Linked DNA regions of Sus scrofa. The protein of the gene in region 1 interacts with the protein of each later gene in a pairwise test. Links are inferred from orthologs where the notes say so. Each region holds a gene or a part of one and is shown on either strand. Other genes may lie near its edges.

Region 1 (7,154 bases):
TGGGAACCTCCATATGCCGCGGGAGCGGCCCAAAGAGATAGCAAAAAGACAAAAAAAAAAAATAATAATAATCACTTTTGGTAGTTCCTGCTATGGCACAGTGGGTTAAGAATCTAATTGCAGCAGCTTGGTTCACTGCAGAGGCATGGGTTTGACCCCTGGCCCGGCGCAGTGGGTTAAAGGATCCAGCATTACCACAACTGTGGCATAGGTTGCAGCTGTGGCTCCGATTCAGTCCCTGGCCCAGAAACTTCCATATGCCATGGGTGCAGCCATTAAAAAAAAAAAAAAAAAAAAAATCATTTTCGGATGGGAGGAGATTGGGTCTGAAAGCCGGCTGGGTCTTAAATATAAATATAAGCCAGCAAATATTATCCAACAGAGTTCAACTATAACCACCCTTACCTTGAAAAGAACTATTTATTTTCACTCTGTTTTGACAAGTCTCTAGCCATCTCACTAACCAGTATTATTTTCATGCCATTTAAAAGACTTAAGACTGAAGCTAAGTCAATTTTGTATTATTTTTATTTAAAATAACTTTACCAAGAGCATCCCTTGGGCTTGTCTGCATAGTTGATCCAATATAAAATACCTGACATTTCTAAATTCCTATGTCATGCTAACTGCTGACCAGGCATGGCATTTCCCATCATTGCTTCCTAAAACTCAGGAAATTTCAAGACCAAATGGCCAAAAGAAATTAGGATGATCCAGCCTCTAAAACAACCTGAGTTATTTAAAAAAGAAAAACAAAATCATGTCTGAATGGATAATTCATAATTCAGACAGCCCAGCATTTAATTGGTATTAACTACTCTACTAAAGATCTATTTAATGCACTTAGGTAAGACCCTTTCTTTCCATGAAATTGGATCTTTGGCTCAAAATTTAATCTCCTGCCAAGGACTCTGCACTATGTAGGTGACGTAACACTGAGGTAGGCTCTTAACATTTCATTGCCAGGAATATAAAGGAAATTGATCCGATTATTTGCCAAATAATGTTTCTTCATCAGGGCTAAGTCCTCCCCTAAGTGGGCTGTCAAAGAGAGGAGGAAAAAAAGCAGTCACTCTTAGTTGTATTTTCCAGGACTCAAATTCAGCCATGAAAAAAATCAATGCATTAAAAATTGATTTGATATATATATAGTTTATTTGGTTATAGGACCTTTGTCTGGAAGGCAAAGCATATGAGGTCTGATCTTTGGGTAACTCAAAATATTGACTAAGTGAAAGATACAAGACATACTATTGTAATGATATTTTGTAACAATGTTCTTTCAGAATATCATCATCATTCTCACTATGATAGTTATCATGGAAAAAACTTAGCTACCATTTTACAGAATATAAAACTCCTAGTAAACAACCTTCTTTCTTTCTCTCTTGTTGAAGGTTTTCAAAATTGTTCCAAAGGAAGAATGCGGTCTATCCTCTCTGAAGTTCTCCGTACTCCTGTAGTTCCAGGACATAGAAGGGCAGAATCCTCTTTGTTCAATCTTCAGATTCATAGTTGCCAATGACCTCTTCAAACAGATAATATGAAAGGACACTATGATCAAAGCTTCCTAAAATTCTTAGCCTAAACTTAAAGTCAACAATGACAGAAAGACACATGTGCAAAAATTCTACCAAGCCCATCCTACCCAAGATAGAGGAAATAAATCAAACAATTAAAATACTAAGGCAAGAGTTTATTCAACAAGTATTTACTGAGCTCTTACTATGTGCCAAGCACTATTTTAGGTGCTGGGAATACATTCCACTGATTGAACACATACAAAAATCCCTGTCTTCATTGTGCTTACACTCTAGAGGAAGGATGCAAGACAATGAACATAATAAATAAGTAATTTACATAGTAACTTAGAAGGTGATGAGTACTATAGGAAAAAAAAATATAGAGCACTCGTGAGAAAAAAAAGACAAGTCTTATCTGAAAATTTTCCAAAGCCAGGTACACACGAAAATATGCTTCCTTCTGGGACAGTCTATTCATCTGTTAAGTGACAAAATGTTTCTGGCCCCTTAATGTGCATAGGGTTTTCAAGCAAGAAATTACAGGGATTTAACAAATATGAAAATAGAACTGGAAACTAAGAGTAACCTTCATGGACTCAATACAGAATTCTGCAGGCAGCAGAATCTGTGTTCACTGCAGTAGAACTTTCCACAGTTCTAGCAAATTCCACAATTCCAGCCATACTACCAACCACAGTGGATCTGGAGGGTCCAGTCTGCTGAGAAGAGGCTACTAGGGACAGAAAATGTGGAAGAACTCAAGCAGCTTTTCAGGATTTTTTGCTTTATTTCCATTTCCTTTTAACATTTCAGCACCCTAGTTTTTTTGTGATTTTCTTACTTTGTTAAATTAAAGAAGGGTGAGGCCATTAAAAAGGAAAACTGAAAAATAGGAACGTCCACAGTTCCAACTCCATCTCCAGTCTCAAACTGTTCAAGATGCACATGTATTAGGTCTTTTGACATCATTATCAGAGGTTGTTGGCTCCAAACTACCAGGAAGATCCCCCTCCCACTCTTTGATTTAAATTCAAATTTCCTTTCAACAAAGCAATCAAAACAATTAATGTCTACTTTTGCCTCCAGGGAATTAGGTTCTCCAAATAAGAAGTGATACTAGAAAATGAATGGCATTGACATATTCCATCAAAATGGGGCAGAGGCAGAAAGTCTAGGTTGCAGGACCAGGGAAAAGGAGTGTCCCTGGAGATTTAGAAACTGATGACTATGACAGCAGCCCTTTCTAGAGGTAATAATGTCATTAGGTTGTGATAATTCTCCAGAAACCCCAACAGCCCTGGATTAAGAACATCTGGAAATTGTTCAGATGACACACATTTCTGTTTCCTGCTGTTAAGGCTTCAGCGATGCCTCGCCGTGGCATCTGTCACCATTTTATTTCTTTGCAAACCTCCTCCTTTCAAATCAGGAAGTGTACATAAAGTGCAAGTAAGATTCATGCCCTCGCTCATGCTTCCAGGTTCTTGCTTCAAAAGCCAGGATCACCAAATCTATCAATTACACCGCTGGCCAGCTAGGTTGTCTGCAGGTATTTCTGGAGTTAGTAAATGAGTTCGTCTGGCAAAGTGTCTGGAGGTGGATGCAGTCTTGGCAAGAAAACACAAAGTACCATACGCAAGACAGGGATGTGAATGATGCAAGCAATAGTAAGGGGTTCTCATCACCGAGTCCCTGCAGAAGAGGCCTTCCTCAACTCTTAAAGAGAATTCAGGAACTGTTACTAAGATGAATGAGGCCAGCGGATTTCAGAGCAGGGTCAGTCCTCAGTGAGGGCAGGCTCGGTTTTCCCTGGGTTAGGAACAGAAAAGAAAACAAAGAGGGTAAGAGGCTCGATCTGATGAGTTTAGTATCACAAATGTCACCCCAAAAGCCTCCAGTAAATGCTCCCCATCTTACAGAACAAAGCTGAATGCAGTGCCTCCTGAAAGGGTTTAGCAAAACTTGTTTTCTTTGGTGTTTGCTAGGCATACAGTCCAAATGGGTCATGGGTTAGGCAATGTCACATACATCTTTATGGTACGATTTCTTAGATTAATATTTTCTTGATTAATATGCCCATGAGCAATGTGACTCTTCAAGAAAGAGATACAATATGTAACATTTCCCACATTTAGTGGCCAGGAATTTATCTTCTTGCAAACCAACCTGTGTTTCAATATAACATATTTTCAGAAATGCTGCCTTATAATACTGGATAGAGGCAACAGGAATGATGTCAAGTCACATTCAATTTATATTATAAGAGCCCAGTTTTTATATTCAGAGTCACCACACTGGTCTTGTACCAATGTAATAGATTAACCATCATAGCTAAAGTTCCATTGAATTTCTTTCATTACGTGCCAAAATCAGGGTCAGAATTTAACATTATGTTTGATGGACAAACATTAATGATCAAAAGTTAACTAGTTCCCATCTATTTTAACTGTCACATCATCAGTGGACATTCACAGGGGATGTCCTTTGTGGCTTTTTTTTTTTTTCTGATTTTTCAGTAGAGCTAAGAACAGAATTAGGCCCATCAAGATGCCATTATGTACGAAGCTAAGCTATAGCTGAGACTAAACAGAATATATTAGAATGTACATAAAAGTCTTGAATAAAAGTTATGGATTGACTAGATCAAAAAATCACAGAAAATTATCAAACACATACTAGTCAAATTCCTGAATTTCTTTTTGGCTTCGGCCCTCTCTTCAGCATCGAAGTACCAAACAGTCATGGCATATCTGTGAAAGATAAGCAGATATTAAAAAGAGGCTTGAAAACACTACCAAAAAATAAAAAATACTTGCTATAAATTTCACATAACAGTCATTTGTAAAGTCAACGTTTAAATTTTTTCCATCCCAATTTGAATTTAAAATAAACTTCTCTGGTTTCAAGTCTATTTAAATGTAATAAAACACGTAAGGAATTCCGAGTATGCGCCAGGCATTATCCTGAGCGATGGGAATTCAAATGGTCCTGTGAATACATCAGCTTTTTTCTCAAGAAGCTTGGGCTCTAGCAGGGGAGAAAAGCGATTTAACAAATAATGGAACAGGTCAAGATGATCTACACAAAAAATGCTGGAAAGGAGTCATTCTGCTAAGGATTGAGAGACTTAAGTTGGTGGGAAGAGCAAAGAAGAGATGACATCCTAGTGAAGCTTTGGAGAGTAACTTACCAAATCACAAGACACTTACAATTCTGGGCTATTTTCTCTTAGTTTTCCACATTGAGCCAATGACACAATGATAACAATGCCCTCAAGCTTTCTACTGCATCCCATTCATTTGCTTTATCCCATCTATGGGATAGACTATAACAGGAGTCATTTCATGCTTGAGTTTTTAAAAGGTTCATTTGTTGTTGTTGTTGTTGTTATTATTATTATTATTATCATTATTATCAGCTACTGGAATTTCTATAGCACTTGATTTTTTTCTAAGGGATTCTTATCAACATTTGCTAATGTTTCCCCTGTGACTCTGGTCATGGAGACACTGGAGAATTCTGCACAAATGACAGGGTCCAATTATTGTGTCCCATTAAATAAGCCACAGTAGGCTTTGGTGGTAGAATTACTTAACTGCTCACCTAGGGTACATCCCAGTTTGACATTTAATATGCAGCTCTGTGTGGAGCTCAGATCCGTGATTTCTGGAGGGAGACACATAACCCTTAAGCACTTTACACCTGTGATTTTAATTTAATTAGGCTTGTTAAGGTTTAGTCATTATCCTTCTAACCAATCTCTCTCCTCCCTGCCCCCAACTGCTATTCCCAATTCAAGCTACACCCCACAGAGCTCCAATACCACCTGGTTTACAGCTTTGTCCATAAAACAAAGGCAAATGAGAGGCAGAATCCAAAATTAAGATTACATTGGAGTTCCCGTTGTGGCTTAGCCATAACAAATCCAACTAGTATCCATGAGGATGCATGTTTGATCCCTGGCCTCACTCAGTGGGTTAAGGATCTGGTGTTGCCGTAAGCTGTGGTGTAGGTCACAGATGCGGCTCAGATCCGACGTTGCTATGGCTATGGTGTAGGCAAGCAGCTGTAGCTCCAATTTGACCCCTAGCCTGGGAACTTCCATATGCTGCGTGTGGAGCCTTAAAAAGCAAAAAAAAAAAAAAAAAAAAAAAAAAAAAGATTATATCAGAATGGAAGATGGAGTTTCTATTGTTGCTCAGCAGTAACAAACCCAACTGGTATCCATGAGGATTTGGGTTTGATCCCTGACCTTTCTCGGTGGGTTAAGAATCCGGCATTGTCATAAGCTGTGGTGTAGGTCGCAGACATGGCTCTGATTCAGCCCCTAGCCTGGAAACTTCCATATGCCACAGGTGTGGCCCTAAAAAAAAAAAAATAGATTATATCAAGGACTTCTAAGATTAATACTAAGCAATGCTAACTTGTTCATTTACTCTGAAAACCTTCCCATGCATGATCTAGAGAAAGGAATTTCACTAACAACATTGTAAATCAACTATACTTCGATAAAGTATGTTTTTTAAAAAAAGGAATTTTAAAAATCCAACTATTAGGACATGATGAGTACAGTAAAATTTTAAGCTAAGGAAAGGGTGAAAAGAAAACAAAATCAGAACAAATTTCTTTTTTTTTTTTTTTTCCTCAAGGTTCTTTCTCCACTTGGAACTGGCAACTTCTCTAGAGGGAACCAGACCAAATTCCTAATTTGTGACAGTCAACATTCCCTAGGAGTAATTCAACATTAAGTTTTTTTAATGGAGGGGTGGGGAAGAAGCGAGAGAAGAGAAAAACTTTCTGGGGAATTTGGAATCCAAGATGCTCACCTAATGGAAAACAGTATGTTCAAGATAGGTTTGGTGTACTAACGAGTCTAGCGTTTCTCCCGCAATTTTTATTGACTTCAAATATGTTTGCTGTCAGCTTTGGGGGGTGGTTGGCCCCTCATATGCTCAGAACACAAGCTGAGAGAATTCTCTGGGAACCGAGGTTTGTACAAGAAGCTTCTTAAGGGCAATTGTGGCCCTGGCTGTTACCTGGTCGCATAGGAAGGCTGGACTTCATGTGGGTTCCTGCGGTCTGACCAGAAGAACAAGAGTCTGTCAAAAATGGGCTCCACATCTGCTATGAATGATTTCCCTTCTGGAAATATCCGCAGGATCCCACCGTGTAGCTGAGGGCCACAAAGAAGGTAGATTATTTCCTGGTCTCAGACATAGTTCATTAACAATGATAGTTTAGCATCATCTAGAAGTAAAGCTATCTTCCAACTGCTACTCCATGTGTGTATTATGCCCTAGATGGTACTTTGGCCTCATCCTTTGTTCAAACTTGGCTAACACACATATCTCCTTATTCACCTCATACCAAATGAAGCCTCCGCCCCCCCCCCATCACGAAGCCCCTGGATACAAAACGAAGTACTATTGGGTCAAATCATATGGAACTGCCAATATGTGACTCTTTTTGACCTACAGCAATTTCATATAGTTCAATCCAATATTAACAGCTCCCTAGGACAGTGACCACACATAACCTCCCCTTCAATTAGAATTTACAGCTTTCTCTGGAACTCCCCTAGCTCCAAAGTGATTTCATCAGTTGGAAGTTACATACTCTTTTTTCCTGACT
Region 2 (8,392 bases), on another chromosome or scaffold:
GTCGAGGCTCCAGTTCTTCAGCTCTGCCTGTCGCAGGCTCTCCATCAGCTCTGCAAAGAGAGAAGCAAGAAATGCTAACCTTGGCGTTCCTAGGTGGCAAAGCCCGTGAAGAATCCAGCACTGTCGCTGTCACTATCACTGTGGTATAGGTTCGATCCCTGGCCCCAGAACTTCCACAGGCCATAGGTGCAGCCAGGAAAAAAAAAAAAAAGAAAAAGCAAGGCTAACCTTGCAGAGGCCCCTACCAGTTCACTGCTCTGACCACATCATCCGTCAACACGGACTATAAGTGCTACCGATAATAACTGACATCTGGGAGTTCCTACTGTGGCGCAATGGGATCGATGGCATCTCTGCAGCACTGGGTCACAGGTTTGATCCCTGGGCTGGCATAGTGGGTTAAGGATCTGCTGTTAACACAGCTGCGATACAGGTGGCAACTGCAGCTCAGATCTGATCCCTAGCAGGAGAACTTCGTATGTTGCAGGGCAGCCAAAATAGAAAATAAATACATAAATACATAAATAATTGGTGTCCATCAGAGCTCTACATTTGCTTTCTTTTTTTCTTTTTTTTTTTTTTTTTTGGCCACGCCCATGTCATGCAGAAGTGCCCAGGCCAGGGATCAAACCTGCACCACAGCAGCGACCTGAGCCACAGCGGTGACAATACTGGAGTCTCAACCTGCAGTGCACTGGAGACCTCCTAGAAATCTACATTTTCAAGCTCTCATTCTCCTTCTTCCTTACTAACGTTTTATAATGTCCATCTTACTGATGCATAAAAGTTTCAAAGTGGCTGAGTGAATTAGCCATGGTCAAACTGTCAGTCAATGGTGACAAAACTACAAAACACTGGTCCAGGGTTTCTGAATTCCTGAAAGCCTTCCTCCTCCCAGAGACAAAACTAGTAGAAGAAAGCCCTGTCATATTTTGAGTGAAGGCAAGAATTCATTCCAATTCACCTGAAAATAGTATCAATATTATCCACCTTGTGTAACATGAAACCCTCAACCTTCAAGCTTCCCTTAACCATCCCCTTCTGGTTCTGGTTGCTCTTGGATTTTTCCACTCACACTGCATCCCTCTTCCCTCCAGGCACCACCATCCTTTCATCACTCACCTGAGAACTGCGACTGCTCAATGCTGGACCAGTTGAGCCGATTCACCATCTTGAAGCTTTCCTTTAAGGAGTCGATATTGGAGCACCAGTCCGGAGGAAAGGCTGTAGAGAGGAGGCGAACATGGTAGTAAGACAGAGTGAGCGGTGAGGCGGGGGCCAACTGACAGGACACCGGCTCACGGCAGATTCTTGCATCTACACAGGTTATCAGTTTCATGACCAGGATCAGTTCCACTACCAGGATTATTTGCCTGGAAATTTAGAGTAAATAAAGCTATGGATGCTTTAGGTACAGACACCCAGCTCAGAGGCAGGAGAATATGTAAAATAATTCCAATTTGACCAAGAATTCTATGAACAGAGCTCTGAGTAGCAACTTCCAGCGCTCAGATGAGAGGGAGGCTTCCAGGCCCACTGTTAACTCAGTGACCAAGGCATCTCCATGGGCAGAGGCAGAACAGGGGGGCCAACCCACACTCCTCCAGGGCCCTGCACCGCCTTACTCACCAAAGCCAGTACTGTTGATGGGAGCCTGGGCTTGTGCCTGCGGTGGCGGTGGCGGTGGCTGCTGGGCGGGGTGCGGGTGGGGGTGGTGCTGATGGGGGTGGTAGCCTCCGTGCTGCAGTGGGGGTGGGTGCATGGCCATCACTGGGGGGGGCCCGTAGCCCTCGGCTCCTGCTTGCTTCCCCCCTGGCGGGGTACAGCCATCTGGGCTTGGGGTGTGCAGTGGAGGCGCACCCCCCACAGCGGAGGGGCCCTGGGCGGGGGCCGCCGGCGGAGGCGGCGGCGGTGGCTGCTGCTGCTGCTGCTGCTGTTGCTGCTGCGGCTGTGACTGCTGGGGCGGCTGTGGGGGCTGTGGCTGCTGCTGCTGGTACATGTAGTAGTTGTTAGAGGGCGGCATGTCCCCCAGGAGAGACGAGAAGCCTGTGGAGGAGGAGGAAGCGTCGCATTGTTCACAGAACAGGAATCCCACTGGGTTGAGATGGGAGGCCTCAGACAGAAAGCACGGACAGCAGAGGCAAAGGGTCACGTCCCCGTGGTCCCCTCCCTCCCCTTGCAAGTATGACAGATACGGGGGGCGGCGGGGGGGGTGCTTGACAGCATGACAAGGGCTGAAATTTTAGCTAGGAGGTCAGCATGCACCTTTTTATGCTATTTTTCAAGGGATTTTCATGTAGGTCTGGAATCACAGTTTCAAAAGAAATCAGACATCGGGTAAAATTTTAAAAGCAAATTATAAATAAAACAAAACCATAAGGAGTGCCTGTTGTGGCTCAGTGGATTAAGGACCCAACATGGTATCCATAGCATTGCCGAAAGCTGTGGCATAGGTCAAAGATGTGGCTCAGATGCAGTGCTGCTGAGGCTGTGATGTAAGCTGGCAGCTGCAGCTCCCATTCAGCCCCTAGCCTAGGAACTTCCATATGCTGCAGGTGCAGCTGTAAAAAAAGCAAAAAACAAAAAAACACAAACAAACCCAAAGGCATGGGCCTTTATTTCTCCTTTTCTTTTTAAAATTTTTTTTTTTTTTTTTTTAGGGCAGATGGAGGTTCCCAGGCTAGGGGTCAAATCAAAGCTAAAGCTGTCAGCCTACACCACAGCCACAGCAAGGCGGGATCTGAGTCGCATCTGCGACCCACACCACAGCTCATAGCAGCAACACCAGATTCTTAACCCACTGAGCAAAGTCAGGGATCGAACCTTCGTCCTCATGGATGCTAGTTGGGTTCACTAACCTCTGAGCCATGACGGGAACTCCTCTCCTTTTCCTTATTGTCCTACACTGTTCTGCAATTATAGCCTTCTTGTAGTCACTACAAAAATAAAAGCTTGGGAGATCCCTGGTGGCCCAGCAGGTTAAGGACCTGGTGTTGTCACTGCTGTAGCTCAGGTCACTGCTGTGGCTCAGGTTAGATCCCCAGTCTGGGAATTTCCACATTCTATGGGCAAAGCCAAAAAAAAGGGGGGGAGCCTGGGTGTGGAGTAGAGTCCAAATGGATAAATTTCTCAAACAGATCTGGCTGGGAAGAATCCAAGATGGAAACCGGGTTTTCAGCCTTAATTAAACCTAAGTGAACTCTCTGCTGCCCTCACTCAATTTGGTTTTTTCCTTTGCTTCTGAGAGCCCTTCAAGTTCTCCACTTCTCATCACCCAAATCACCTGAACCCGACTCATTTCTCAAGCAAATCCTGCAACCTTGGGACACAACTCTAGACAGGAACCCCCACAGATATACAAGAAAGGCAGGACAATACAAAGTTCTGGAGTTCCCCCTGTGGCTCAGTGGTTAACGAACTGACAGGTATCCATGAGGATGTGGGTTTGATTCCCAGCTCTGCTCAGTGGGTTAAGGATCCTGCGTTGCCATGAGCTGTGGTGTAGGTCACAGATGCAGCTCAGATCCCAAATTGCTATGGCTGTGGTGTAGGCTGGCAGCCACAGCTCTGCTGACTCAACCCCTAGCCTGGGAATCTCCATATGCCACAGGTGCGGCCCTAAAAAGACAAAAGACCAAAAAAATATATAAATTTCTCCCAAAGGGACTCCTAAGCACTTTTTATCATTCCATTCATCTCCTGCTGCCTCTCCATGGCCAGTGGACAGAATAAGGTCTGATGATTCACCCTGAAGTCTTTACTTCACCCCTACCTCCAAATTCTCTTTAAAATTTTTAAAAACATGGAGTTCCCATCATGGGGCAGTGAAAACGAATCTGACTAGGAACCATGAGGACAAGGGTTCGATCCCCAGCCTCCCTCAGTGGGTTAAGGATCTGGCATTGCTGTGAGCTCTGGTGTAGGTTGAAGACACGGCTCGGATCTGGTGTTGCCGTGGCTCTGTCGTAGGCCAGCGGCTACAGCTCTGACTTGACCCCTAGCCTGGGAACCTCCATATGCCGTGGGTGTGGCCCTAGAAAAGGCAAAAAGACAAAAAAATATATGTATAAATAAATGCAATTTTTTAAAAACAGGAATCGCAGAGAGCTGAACTAGATGCTCTCTCAAGGAGTCTCCCAAGAATGACTTCAAATCCTTCTCACATGTGAATTTGGGAAATTTGAGTATGGCCAAGATATAAACCGATATTCTGGAAGCATTATTTACTGTGTTAGGATAATGGAAAGAAAAATCTTTATCATTAAGGATGCATACCAAACTAGTATTTTCAGATAGAATGACATGCATTAAATTCCTCCATTTAAAAGCAAACCTGGGAGTTCCCGTCGTGGCGCAGTGGTTAACGAATCCGACTAGGAACCATGAGGTTGCAAGTTCGGTCCCTGCCCTCGCCCAGCGGGTTAAGGATCCAGCGTTGCCGTGAGCTGTGGTGTAGGTTGCAGACTCGGCTCGGATCCCGAGTTGCTGTGGCTCTGGCGTAGGCCGGTGGCTACAGCTCTGATTCAACCCCTAGCCTGGGAATCTCCATATGCCCGGGAGCGGCCCAAGAAATAGCAACAACAACAACAACAAAAAAAAAAAAAGACAAAAGACAAAAAAAAAAAAAAAAAGCAAACCTGGAACTACATTTCAATTAAAAAAGAAAAGGTGAAAAGGAAAAAAAAAGAAAGAAAGAAAAAGTGGGTGGGCACCTCTGGGGTTAAAATTAGGAGAAAACGAAAAGGTACATTGACTTCTTAATCTGTGTGTTTCTTGGATTAATTTTAAATTTAAAAAAAGAATATAAAATATTGGAGTTCCCGTCGTGGCGCAGTGGTTAACGAATCCACTAGGAACCATGAGGTTGCGGGTTCGGTCCCTGCCCTTGCTCAGTGGGTTAACGATCCGGCGTTGCCGTGAGTGTGGTGTAGGTTGCAGACGCGGCTCGGATCCCGCATTGCTGTGGCTCTGGCGTAGGCTAGTGGCTACAGCTCCGATTCGACCCCTAGCCTGGGAACCTCCATATGCCGTGGGAGCGGCCCCAAAGAAATAGCAAAAAGACAAAAAATAAATAAATAAATAAAAATAAAAAATTATGTTACTAAGAATTAAATAAATAAATAAACTGGGTGGCAAACAAAACAACCTTAATAAAATATTGGGAACTGTTAAAATTGGGCAATGGAAACATGAAGGTTTACTATACAATTTTCTCCATTTTGCACCGGTTTGAAATTGTTCCTCATAAAAATTAACATAAATACGTTAAAAAATAAAATTAAATGTTCTCACAATGAAACAGGGATTCTTAGGTAAAGCAAGTTACTGCTGCCCCTAGTGGCCATCCTCAGAATGACTTGCTGACAGCCATAAAATCATGGCCCTTGGAAGTTCCCATTGTGGCTCAGCAGTAAGGAAACTGGCTAGTATCCATGAGAATGCAGTTGGATTCCTGACCCCTCTCAGTGGGTTAAGGATATGACATTGCCCCGAGCGCAGTGTATATCACAGACATGGCTTGGATGTGGCATTGTTGTGGCTGTGGCATAGGCCAACACCTGCAGTTCCAATTCAGCCCCTAGTCTGGGAACTTGCATTTGCTGTGAGTTTGGCCCTTAAAAGAAAAAAAGAAGAAAAAAAAAATTACAGCCCTTAGTTTTAGAAGTGGGATTCCTTTAACTCACTTTCCGAAGCTAACGACCCAGCCTTCCTCTTGGGAAGCGAGAATTCTACCATTGAACCACCAATGCCTCCCAGCCTGCCTCTTGAAACAGAGAACTGTCCTTCAGAACTAAGCCAGAAGAGCTCCACTCCAAACCGTTTTGGCTCAAGACATGCTTCCCCTGACCAGTGATCAACCTCTCCCTGGGTTACAGGTAAGAAAGAAGGAGAGAAAGACTATCACCATCCATTCAAAAATACAAGGACATCCCCGATCCCCTCCCCATGCCAGACCCACCGTGTTGAGAGGAGGAGGAAGACTTCTCCAGCATAGATTTGTAGAGGTTTCGGAAGGACCAGCTTAGATCCTGAAAATTGATCTCTGAGTAGGAGAATTTGAAGTCATGGTTGGTGTTATACAGGGGAGGGGGACCCTCAGTGCTCTCTCGTCCTGGAGCCCCTGCTGCCACTGCCCCGCCATCCACAGATCCTGTGCCCTGCACAAAGAGGTAAGAAAGACTTGATCCGTGTCCTATACGAAGCGCCAAGACAGCTCTTTAATGGACCCCAAGCTCTCCTGCCTGTCCTTTTCATCCCCTCCCAGCTTCTCAGCGAAGGAGCTTCATTTTCTCCTCCTCTTTGCACTCATTCTTACCAGGATGTAGCCTTCTGTCCTTTTCCTGGGTTACGTCCTGCTCGTCTTTCCCTTCTCATAACCCTTTTGCCTCCCCTTCTTGTCTTGTCATCACTTTTTTTCTGATCTTTCTTAAAGTTCTGTTGCCTTTCTCTTTACTCTCTCCTTCTTTCCCAGTTTATCTGCCTGTTATATAGCACAGATATTCAGTACATAACTTTGAGCTGATACATACATCAATGTACTCAACTACCTATCCATCCACCCGTCCATCCCTATGCCCCCTGCCACCTCCAATTGCTACCTGGCTGTAGCTGGCAATAGAGGTGGGGCTCTGGAGTGACATCTGAGGATTCCCCTCGGGAGGCAGTGAGGCTTCTCCACTCCCTGGAATGCCTCCTCGTGGGCTCTTGCTTGCCTCTTGTTCCGGTGAGTCTTGGGGTAGCTGAGGGTTGTGAAAGAATAGAAACCTATAAGCAGGAGTTCCCACTATGGTGCAGTGGGTTAAGAATCTGACTGCAGTGGCTTAAGTCTCAGATCCCTGGCCCAGTGCAGTGAGTTAAAGGATCTGCAGCTTCGGCTGGGATTTAGTCCCTGGCCTAGGAACTTGCATATGGCATAAAAAAAAAAAAAAAAGAAGAAAGAAAGAAGGAAATCTGTCAGCTAGAATTCCCATCATGGCTCAGTGTTTAATGAGCCCAACTAGTATCCATGAGGACGTGGGTTTGATCCCTGGCCTTGCTCAGTGGGTTAAGGATTCGGCGTTGCCGTGAGCAGTGGTATAGGTCGCAGACACGGCTAGGATCCCGAATTGCTGTGGCTATGGCATAGGCTGGCAGCTGTCATTCTGATTAAACCCCTAGCCTGGGAACTGCCACATGCTGCGGGGTGTGGCCCTAAAAAGACAGAAAACCAAAAAAAAAAAAAAAAAAAGAAAGAAAGAAAAGAAAAGAAATTTCTAAGCAGACGTTAAATGTCCTCCCAAGTCCCATGGTTTCACCTCTACTGGTATTGGTCCTTTACCCCCAATTTAGGAAATAACTGAAAATACAGGAAGAGATGTAGAAGCTGGCTCAGAAATGCATCTCCCCACTGAGGTGGGAACTCACATCATCATCTGGAGGGTGTCTTCTCTTTCGGGAGATGTCGGGGCAGGTGTCAATTGTCCAGTAAGAGCCCTAAAAGAAAACCCATCCCCAGAGAGGAGAAATTCATTATAGACAGAAATTCCTACCTTTGGAAAAGTAGATATTTGAGTGGATTTTCATATAAAATAAGTTATATGGAGAAAAATGACAGGTGATTCCCACAGAATCCTGTGGCTACCAGCTCTTTTTGAGGACTAAATCTGTCCTAACCGCTAACTGAGAAGGTCAGAGGTACCCGCTGTGGTCCAAACACAGGCCTCGATCATTCCAGAGAACAACTGCATCCAGTTCAAAGAGCTGGAAATGCCCAGAGCAATCTTCCCTCCTTGCGATCTGAGGTAAAACTCTCTTCGACTTTAGCATCCACAGCTGAGAGACCAAGAGGATGAGCTGCCTCTTCTCCTCTTGGAAGATAAAAAAATCATAGAGAAATAATTTTCTATTTTCATATAGAGAAGTTCCTGGGAGTTCCCATTGTAGCTCAGCAGAAACGAACCCGACTAGTATCCATGAAGATGTGGGTTCCATCCCTGGCCTCGCTCTGTGAGTTAAGGATCTAGCATTGGCATGAGCTGTGGTGTAGGTCACAGACGAGGGTCGAATCTGGAGTTGCTGTGGCTGTGGTGTAGGCTGGCAGCTGCAGCTCCATTTCAACCCCTAGCCTGGGAACTTCCATATGCTGTACCTGCGGCCCAAAAAGACAAGAAAAGAAAAGGAAAGGAAAGGAAGGAAGGAAGGAAGGAAGGAAGGAAGGAAGGAAGGAAGGAAAGAAAGAAAAGAAAGAAAGAAAGAAAGAAAGAAAGAAAGAAAGAAAGAAAGAAAGAAAGAAAGAAAGAAAGAAGGAAGGAAAAGAACAGTTCCTTCAAAGGTTATTAGCTCCACCTTTTACACCTAGAAAGAGTGCCATGCACAAAAAAGGGGGCACATGGAGTTCCCGTTGAGATGCAGC

Evidence for each region.
Region 2: the proteins of EGLN3 (region 1) and FOXJ2 interact in binary tests that used the Homo sapiens proteins (3 or more experiments, as listed by UniProt). The two-hybrid records come from large-scale screens. The link is inferred for Sus scrofa from reciprocal best matches to the Homo sapiens genes EGLN3 and FOXJ2.

The regions. Positions count from the first base shown.
Region 1 is NC_010449.5:65,827,515-65,834,668, reverse strand, and holds the end of EGLN3 (egl nine homolog 3), read right to left. Parts: intron 6,697-7,154; coding exon 6,560-6,696; intron 4,274-6,559; coding exon 4,200-4,273; intron 3,333-4,199; coding exon 3,301-3,332; 3' UTR 1,133-3,300; downstream 1-1,132. UniProt on the Homo sapiens protein: Prolyl hydroxylase that mediates hydroxylation of proline residues in target proteins, such as PKM, TELO2, ATF4 and HIF1A. Target proteins are preferentially recognized via a LXXLAP motif.
Region 2 is NC_010447.5:63,073,905-63,082,296, reverse strand, and holds part of FOXJ2 (forkhead box protein J2), read right to left. Parts: intron 7,474-8,392; coding exon 7,405-7,473; intron 6,741-7,404; coding exon 6,600-6,740; intron 6,159-6,599; coding exon 5,960-6,158; intron 2,047-5,959; coding exon 1,630-2,046; intron 1,225-1,629; coding exon 1,123-1,224; intron 51-1,122; coding exon 1-50.